2 linked regions of the Rhinolophus ferrumequinum genome follow. Each later gene encodes a partner of the first gene's protein in a complex. Links are inferred from orthologs where the notes say so. Each region holds a gene or a part of one and is shown in the gene's direction. Other genes may lie near its edges.

Region 1 (3,749 bases):
TGCCCCTCGTCCCCATCCCCCGTTTTTGCCTCACCTCTGGTTTAGGGGTGAGGGTGTGTGTCATAATTCCTTCTTTCCCAGGAGACATTCCGAGGGGGGCCTTCTGATGAGCTTCAGGCCCAGATCAGTGTTCTCCAGGGAGGGGAGAGGACATTTGTCTCCAGTTGGGTGGGTGTTGGCGGACACATCCTATTGCCTGGAAGAACGTTTAGCCCCGGGATAGGCTCCTTGTGGGTTGAGGTGCACGGGGGTCCTCAGCAGCCATCGGATGCAGGGGGCAAGGAGGGGCTGCTGAAAGGAACTACTGGTTCTCCAGTCCCTGGTGACATTCCAGGGTGGCAAGATGGACTCCATGTCACAGCAAAGAACATGATGGACACACGACTTTATCAGTGTCATCAAATAAGAGTAATAGTGGCACAAGTAGCATGTGAAACTGTTGGCTCTTCCAGTGTTATACGTCAGGGAGCTCTGTAAACAGAAATCCAAGTGAAGTCGGTAGATAGAGTAGAGCCACCCTGTGAGTGGGTCTGAGCAGGAAGTAATCCCCTGTGGAACTTTCCACCTTGGCTTGCTGGAATCCCAACAGGCTCCCCTGTGGGAGACTAGTTAGAGAAGCTGCAGGGGATTCTGATGCAGACCACTGGTTAAGAGCCATTTTAATACCTCAGTTAATTGCAGAGTATTCATACTTAACTGTTATCTTTAATCCTCTGTGGTCTTGTGAGAAGACCACAGGAAGTGGGGATTTAAATAGGTGCAGAGGGGGGGTGGGGGGGGACGCACCACAGAAGTGGGAGGACGGTTGGGACATCAGCGTCCAGGTCAGGCTCAGCCACTGTGGGAGCCGGACACGAAGAAGGACGCTGCTGCTTCTAGGTATTTGAGAACTTGCTTTGAGTATAATGTTGGATGGGTGAAGGTTTCTGCTTCTTCCTTATATTCTGGAAAGCTTGTTGGAAAGGAAGAACTGTTAGGCATACGCAAACCAGATTGTTTTTTTTCAGGAATGGGAGCATGAATAAAGAAGTGACCTCATGCTGCCCAGAATTTTGATTCCACTAACTGAGAGGTGGGGTTTGGCCCTCTGTTTCTCAGCTTTAGGGTGGTGCTCAGAGAGGTAAAGTAACGTGTTGACATCATGTGGCTGGTAAGGGCTGGAGACAGGCTTTTGTCCAACGCAGAAGGTCTGTGGGAGCAGAAGGTCTGTGGGACTCCGGAGCTAATTGTTATTTAGAGTACCCCACTGCCTTATAACCAAAAGTAGGACTTACATTGTACTTTTTTATGTTTCATATTTAACAAAAATATTTAAATATAACTATGTTTCAAGAGAGCCTTTATGAAGTACTGCTATAGAGGTGTAACTTCAGTCAAGGCTTTGTGTGCAGTGTCAGCCTGCTGTCAGCTACTGCTCAAAAGAGAAAGGCCTGCTAAGCCATGCAGAACCACTGGAACCCCCAAATCCTCTTTTGTGTTGCTCTAATTTGAGGTTGGCTGTAAGCTGCTTGAACTTTTTTTCATGCCACAAAGTGCATTGCCCTTAGAATTAGCTCTGGTTTTTTTTCTTTACCTAGAAAATGTCAGGTCTTAGAGCTGAAGTATGGCTGCCGTTGTCCTCCTTGACTCAGTTGGAAATGGCCTTGCATGCACTAGCCGAGGCAGGATGAGGGACGTGGTTCTGCTGAGGATAGAAGTTCGTATGGATGCGCTGCAGGTGGGGTGACCTGGGCCCAGGGCTGCTTTCATGTGGACGTCTTGCCCGAAGCCGTCTTTATTTCTCTTCTTTGTTTCTCCGAGGGAGACGTGGCCCCTTGTCCAGGGTGAACTCCTCTGCCTTTAGTTTGAGTCCCAATACCTGTCTTCAAGGTTCTTATTCCCTCAGTGGTTGCCTCACCGCCTCTTCCACAGTGGATTTGAAACCATTATTTTCCTTGACCTCCCTGTAAGGAGCCCCGTGGAACCTTTCTGTCAATTTGGTTTATTTGGTTCTGGTGACACGAGGCTCCTGGACTCGGGTTCCCCAGGGTTGCGTTTTTGAACCTCTCCTGCCTGTCGATACCCTTGATGAGCTCTCCACTTCTGTGGCAACAACTGTCATCTCTCTGTGGGCAGCTTCTAAATTCCCTCGTTTCTCCAACGCCTAGTGATTTGGTCCTTCCCGTGTGTTGGGAGCTGCTGTAGACAACACAAAGCCTCTCCCTTGGGGACGTTCATCCCACTGGAATCCAGCGGGGCGGGCATCGAGTGGTGGGCTGGAAGTGGGAGGTGACAGCTCTTCTGGGTGGGCTGACCGGGAGCTTCTCCTAGAAGGGGACGCGCAAGGAGACGCAGACTGGTGAGGAGGGGCGAGGCAGGAGAAGGCCGTGGGGGGTGTTCAGGGCCTTTCTCTCCAGGCCTGCCTTCTCTGATCCTGCGGTCCAGAATCTCCACGGAACTCGCAGGGCTTTCAACCCCATGTTCTCCCAGCTCTTAAACTCTGTCTTCTCTCCCACTGCCCACCTCCTGCAGAACAATCTACCCATGCCCCGGGTTTCCGTACCTGCCAGCCACCCGTCTCCCCATGTCTGATCGCTAGGCCTGACTTGCTGTCAGCACACCTGCCATTCTCTTCATATGTCTGTTCTGTGCCGGCCTCTGCCATTCCTGCTGTAACCACTTGAGTGTCAGCCCCTGCCCACATCAGCTGAGAGGTTGATTGCAAAACATCAGGTGGGTGGCACAGGGGGCAGGCAGGCTAGGCTGTGAGCAGGGCCAGCAGCAGGGAGGCTGCCCGGAGGCACATCCAGGGACACAGTGCAAATAGATTTTGAGGGTGCTGTCCGCCAGGGGACACCCCATCCCTGCTGTGCGTGTTCACACTGGCTGCTGCTTTGCCTCCTTTCTCGAGGTTCAGCGTCCCAGACAGGCACCTGTGACTGGCCGCGCCACGGCCGTGCCCGTGCTGCTTACGGGGTGAGGACAGAGGATTGTGATCTTTGGCTCCACAACGGGGGATGGGGTCCCCATAGGAGAAGAGGGTTTAGAACCTGGCCACTGTCCACTCCTCAGACATTCCGAAACTTAAATGATTCCCCATTGTTTTGAGCAAGGCTGTCCGATAGAACTTTCTGTGATGATGCACATGTTCCATGATCTGCACTGGCCTTTTAAAATGGTGACTGAGCCACGTGTGACCAGTGAGACTGAGGAAAGGGGCTTTTCATTTTACTTACATGTAAGTTGCCACATGACTCATGGTTACTGGATTGGACAACATGGGTCTAGAGAATACACGTTCCCTTTTTAGCTTGGCTTTCAGGCCCTTCTGTGTCACACGGGTCAGGCCAGCTGGGCTGCCACTGTCCTACATCTATGGCTTTGCTCCTGGGTTCTCTCATTTCCGGACCTCTCCTGCCTGTCAGCCGCGTGGACATGTTCCCACCTGGAAAGCCTTGCCCGATTTTCCCGACCAGAGGGCACTCGTGTCTGCGTCCCCATCCCCTCCCTCAGCGACGGACAAGCTGCTGACTTGCTGCCCAGGCCCAGCCCCCACGACCTCCTCCAGGACTCGGCCTCTCCCGTGATTCTGTTTTGCTCACTTTGTCTCTGGAGTAACCCGAGTTTGCTTCACTGTCTTTCGTTCTCTGTCCCCCTTGCCAGCTCTTTCTCTCCCTCACATCTAAGCTCTGGAGGGCCCCAGACCCCATCGAGGTGCTCCCATCCCCCCCAGGACTGCCCGCCCCCCTCCGCTCTGCCCCCAGATTCCA
Region 2 (3,749 bases), on another chromosome or scaffold:
ATTCTAAGAAGGTCTATCTGGCCGTTAAGTAGATATTGATACAGTTTTGCGGAATAGAAAAATGCTGTGAACTAAGAATTGAAAAAATAGAGATGCAAGCATCATGGTTAGGAAAGAAAAGAGAACATGATGGAAAGCAAATGTGACACCTAACTAGAATTATGAAACCAATACAGACATACATCAGGAGGAACAGATTTATTGGAGAACCTTTAGAGCTTTTGAATTAGAGTTGACAGTAAGGTATGTATGTAGAAATATTTATCCAGCATCCAACAAGCAGCTGAAAATGTGAACCTAGAACTCAGAAGAAAGGTGCAGAATTAGAACTCACATTCTCAGGACACTGTGGAATTAGAAAAACAGAGATGAGAAACCAGACAAGCTTTAAATGCCATCATTTAAGAGTTAGGAAACTAGAGTAAGTGAAGACCTAAAATAAGAAAGAGCAGTGTCCCAGAAGCTAAGAAATCGAAGGGGTTAAATGAGGAAAAGGAAGTGGTCTTCAGTGATGTCAGTTGCTACGTAACTGTTAAATTCACTTGTAATAATGAAGTTATTTGTAATATGTGGGAGCTTTGTAGTTTACCATTTCATCTTCTCAGGAATAACGAGGAAGTAAGTATCCAATTCTTTTCACCGTGTCTTGAGCTAGTTACTTATTTTTGCACTCCTGTTGGGGATTGGAGTTGAAGATCAGTGTTGAACAAGTTCCTGTAGACCTCATTTACCTGCCACCTACTGTAGGTTTTTGCTAAAGGTGCACACAAGACACCAAACAGAAAACAATATGGAAAGTCTTTACAGGCACAGCCTTCTAATTGGAGCCAATAAAGGTTACCCAACAGCTGCATATGTTGAAGTTCACACATAACTGAGAACTCCAGAAAACCCAGGATGGCTCCTCAATTCAATCTACACAAAACCTTGAGTAAAGAGCAGTGAGTCGATGGCAAACGGGAAAGCCAAAAGAGAAATCGGGGTCTGGAACCTTTGGAGCTGGGACTTCTAATCACGTGTCATCTGGTGCTTGCTGTTCAGCTTCAAAGTCTTTGATCTAAAAGAACAGGTTTTAAGATAACGGACTCTGAAATACTAAGGCAATTCATACACTCTCCGCACAAAAATGTCTTCTTACATGCTTTTCCTGGGGAGCTTTACAGCGCAGCAACCTGACAGGAAACCTCTCTCCAACACCTGGTGTCTGCGCAGGCGCACGAGGCAGCCTGTGGAGAGCCGCGGGAGGGCGGGGTGGGGCGGGGTGCGACGCACAGTCGCACGCTCCCAGTTCCCCCCGCGCGTCCCCGGAAATCCCATGGTACCCGGCGTTGGAGGTGTAGGAAGTGCTGCTTCAAGCGGAGAGGAGGTCGTAAGTCATGTGACGGCAGCTTTCAGAAAGACCTGTCTTTGACGCTGTCCCTGAAGGACAGCAGGCAGCCCAGAGCCCTGCGACCCAAAGAACCGGGCAGCCCAGAAACCGGGTAACTGGAGCCACGTTGCTCGGTGTTCAGGCCTGGGCCCGCGGGTGTTACGGGCGGTGAGCTGGAAGAGCAGAGGATGCCCCTTCCGCTTTATTTCGGGCTTAGACCTTGGGGGCTGGGGAGGCGGAGTGGGCTGAGGTAAGGCACCCCGGCTGTTCTTGTGGGTATCTGGGCAGTGTGTCTCCCTGCGATCTCTCTGGTCCCAGGCCTAGAGCCGCGGATTCTTGCCTGACCCTGATGACAGCTGACCCCGCTGAAACCCAGATTTCCTCACCAGGAGTTTCTTTTTCAGGCGTGGATATTGAACCTGCGGGAGAAAGGGGTTCGTCATGGCGGATGTGAGTTAACACCCCCGCACAAGAGGAAGCAAGTGGTGGGGAGTTTGGAGCATACTGGGTGGGGAAAGATTGTGCTTCCCAAAGAGAAATTTGTTTTATTTTTGCCCCTCTACACCTTGAGTTATTGTCTCCAAGATCTGGAGTTAGAGATTAATATGAATGGATTTCCTGGGGCCGTGAGTTTGTGCCTTGCATGGGCCTGTAGGACACTTAGGTGCCCGTGCTCACTCCACAGCCCTGCGGGCATAAGAGGCTCCGAATATTTACCATTTGAATTTCTAAATGGTGCTTTGCTGCTTGGAATCCTTTTTTTTCCCAGCAAGTGGTCATGATGTCTTTCTGGGTTCATTGGAGCCATTTGAGATGATTTTTCAACTGACAAGTCTTGAGCACAGCAGTAAAAGCCAGATTCTAAGTTTAAGGAACTTAATTGTTCTAGTTACTAGAAACAGCGGGAAATTAATACTAGTACTAATGTTTATATTTTACATATGTTACTTTGCTTACGTACATCCTGAGTGTTATAAATATTGAACATACGCTCATTCTCAGCTTTAGGAGGTAGGCATGATCATTATCCCTGTGTCATAGATAAGGATGCTAAAGCACAGAAAGATCGAGTAACTTGCCTCAGGTTACTCTAGTACTAAGAGTGAAAATACCAACCCAGGTATTTTGGCTCCAGAGTCAGTGCACTTAACCATTTTGCTAGTCATTCAGCATTAATATGAATCTGATTTTTCTTTTTACGTTGCAAGATTATGTGTTTCAACATTAAGCAACTTTCATGCCTTTATCACTACATTTTTGGGTGTCTTCCATTATGTTTTTGAGACATTATCCTTCAGGCATAATCAAATCACTAAATATCTATTGAGCAGCCAAAAGGTTGTTATAATAAGGACTGTGGGTGAAATGAAGAGGACTATGGTATAATTCCTCTTAGGGGTTTTACAGTTTTAAAAAGTAGACAAATGATCAGATATGCATGCATTATTGTGTGAAAATTCAAAGGAGAGAGGGATTACATCTGGTTTGTGTCTATCAGGAAAACCTATTTGGAGTGTTTGGTGGTTGAGGTTAACTCTAAATGATGAGTAGCAGTTTTAAAAAGTAAGATTCAGAAGGAGAATATTGCTAGTAGAATGAATAGCATGAACAATATTACATAGGAAAGGGAAAGGTTGTGTATGGAAGAGCTGTGAGTAGTTTAATTTAGCTAGGGCTGAGGATCTGTGTGAGACAGCAGTAGGAAGCAGAACTGTAAACTTAGTTGTAGGCCATATTGTAGAGGCTCAAATGTCTAAAGAGTTTGTACATAATTCAGTGAACAGTGGAGAGCCATTTCAATATTTGTTCTCAACCGTGGCTGAATAGGTGGTAATCTGGGGAGCACCTCTAACCTAGCCATCTAGTCAACAGTGGCCTTTTTTTTTTTGAAGCTTTTCACGTGTTATCCATAGCCAAGGTTGAGAATCCCTACAATTACAGTTTTAGAGAAGGAGAATAATAGGATTATTGACACCATGTAGACCTGTATGGAATAGATGCGGGAGATCAGCATACCAACTAGGAAGCTAGTGCAAGTCGTAAATAATAGAATGAAAATAAACTGTAATGTCAGTTGAAAAGGAGAAGAAGAGATCGGTTTAAAAACATTTGACTTCACAAGTGATTTAAAAGTGACAAACGTGAGGTTAGGGTTAGGTATTACTCTTAGTTTCAAACCTGAATTAATGGGTTTGGTAGTCCCATTAGTGAAAACGAAAAGAGATTGAGGAAATCTGGGTTTCAGATGAAACATGATGAGTTGAGGTTTTTTTGTGTGTGTTTAAAATGAGAGCAAAGGTAAACTGGTAGTGATAATATGGAATAAAATGAATATTCAGGTTTGGAGAATAGTAGGGATTAGAGGTTCAAAACCACAGAT

What was found.
Region 2: FLCN (region 1) and LAMTOR3 share a complex: the UniProt entries of both Homo sapiens proteins name them as parts of the lysosomal folliculin complex. The link is inferred for Rhinolophus ferrumequinum from reciprocal best matches to the Homo sapiens genes FLCN and LAMTOR3.

What each region holds. Positions count from the first base shown.
Region 1 is NC_046304.1:1,500,465-1,504,213, forward strand, and holds the start of FLCN (folliculin), read left to right. Parts: upstream 1-1,200; 5' UTR 1,201-1,603; coding exon 1,604-1,717; intron 1,718-1,778; exon of another isoform or gene 1,779-2,712; intron 2,713-3,749. UniProt on the Homo sapiens protein: Multi-functional protein, involved in both the cellular response to amino acid availability and in the regulation of glycolysis.
Region 2 is NC_046288.1:51,295,211-51,298,959, reverse strand, and holds the start of LAMTOR3 (ragulator complex protein LAMTOR3), read left to right. Parts: upstream 1-1,297; 5' UTR 1,298-1,481; intron 1,482-1,512; exon of another isoform or gene 1,513-1,619; intron 1,620-1,773; 5' UTR 1,774-1,810; coding exon 1,811-1,819; intron 1,820-3,749. UniProt on the Homo sapiens protein: As part of the Ragulator complex it is involved in amino acid sensing and activation of mTORC1, a signaling complex promoting cell growth in response to growth factors, energy levels, and amino acids.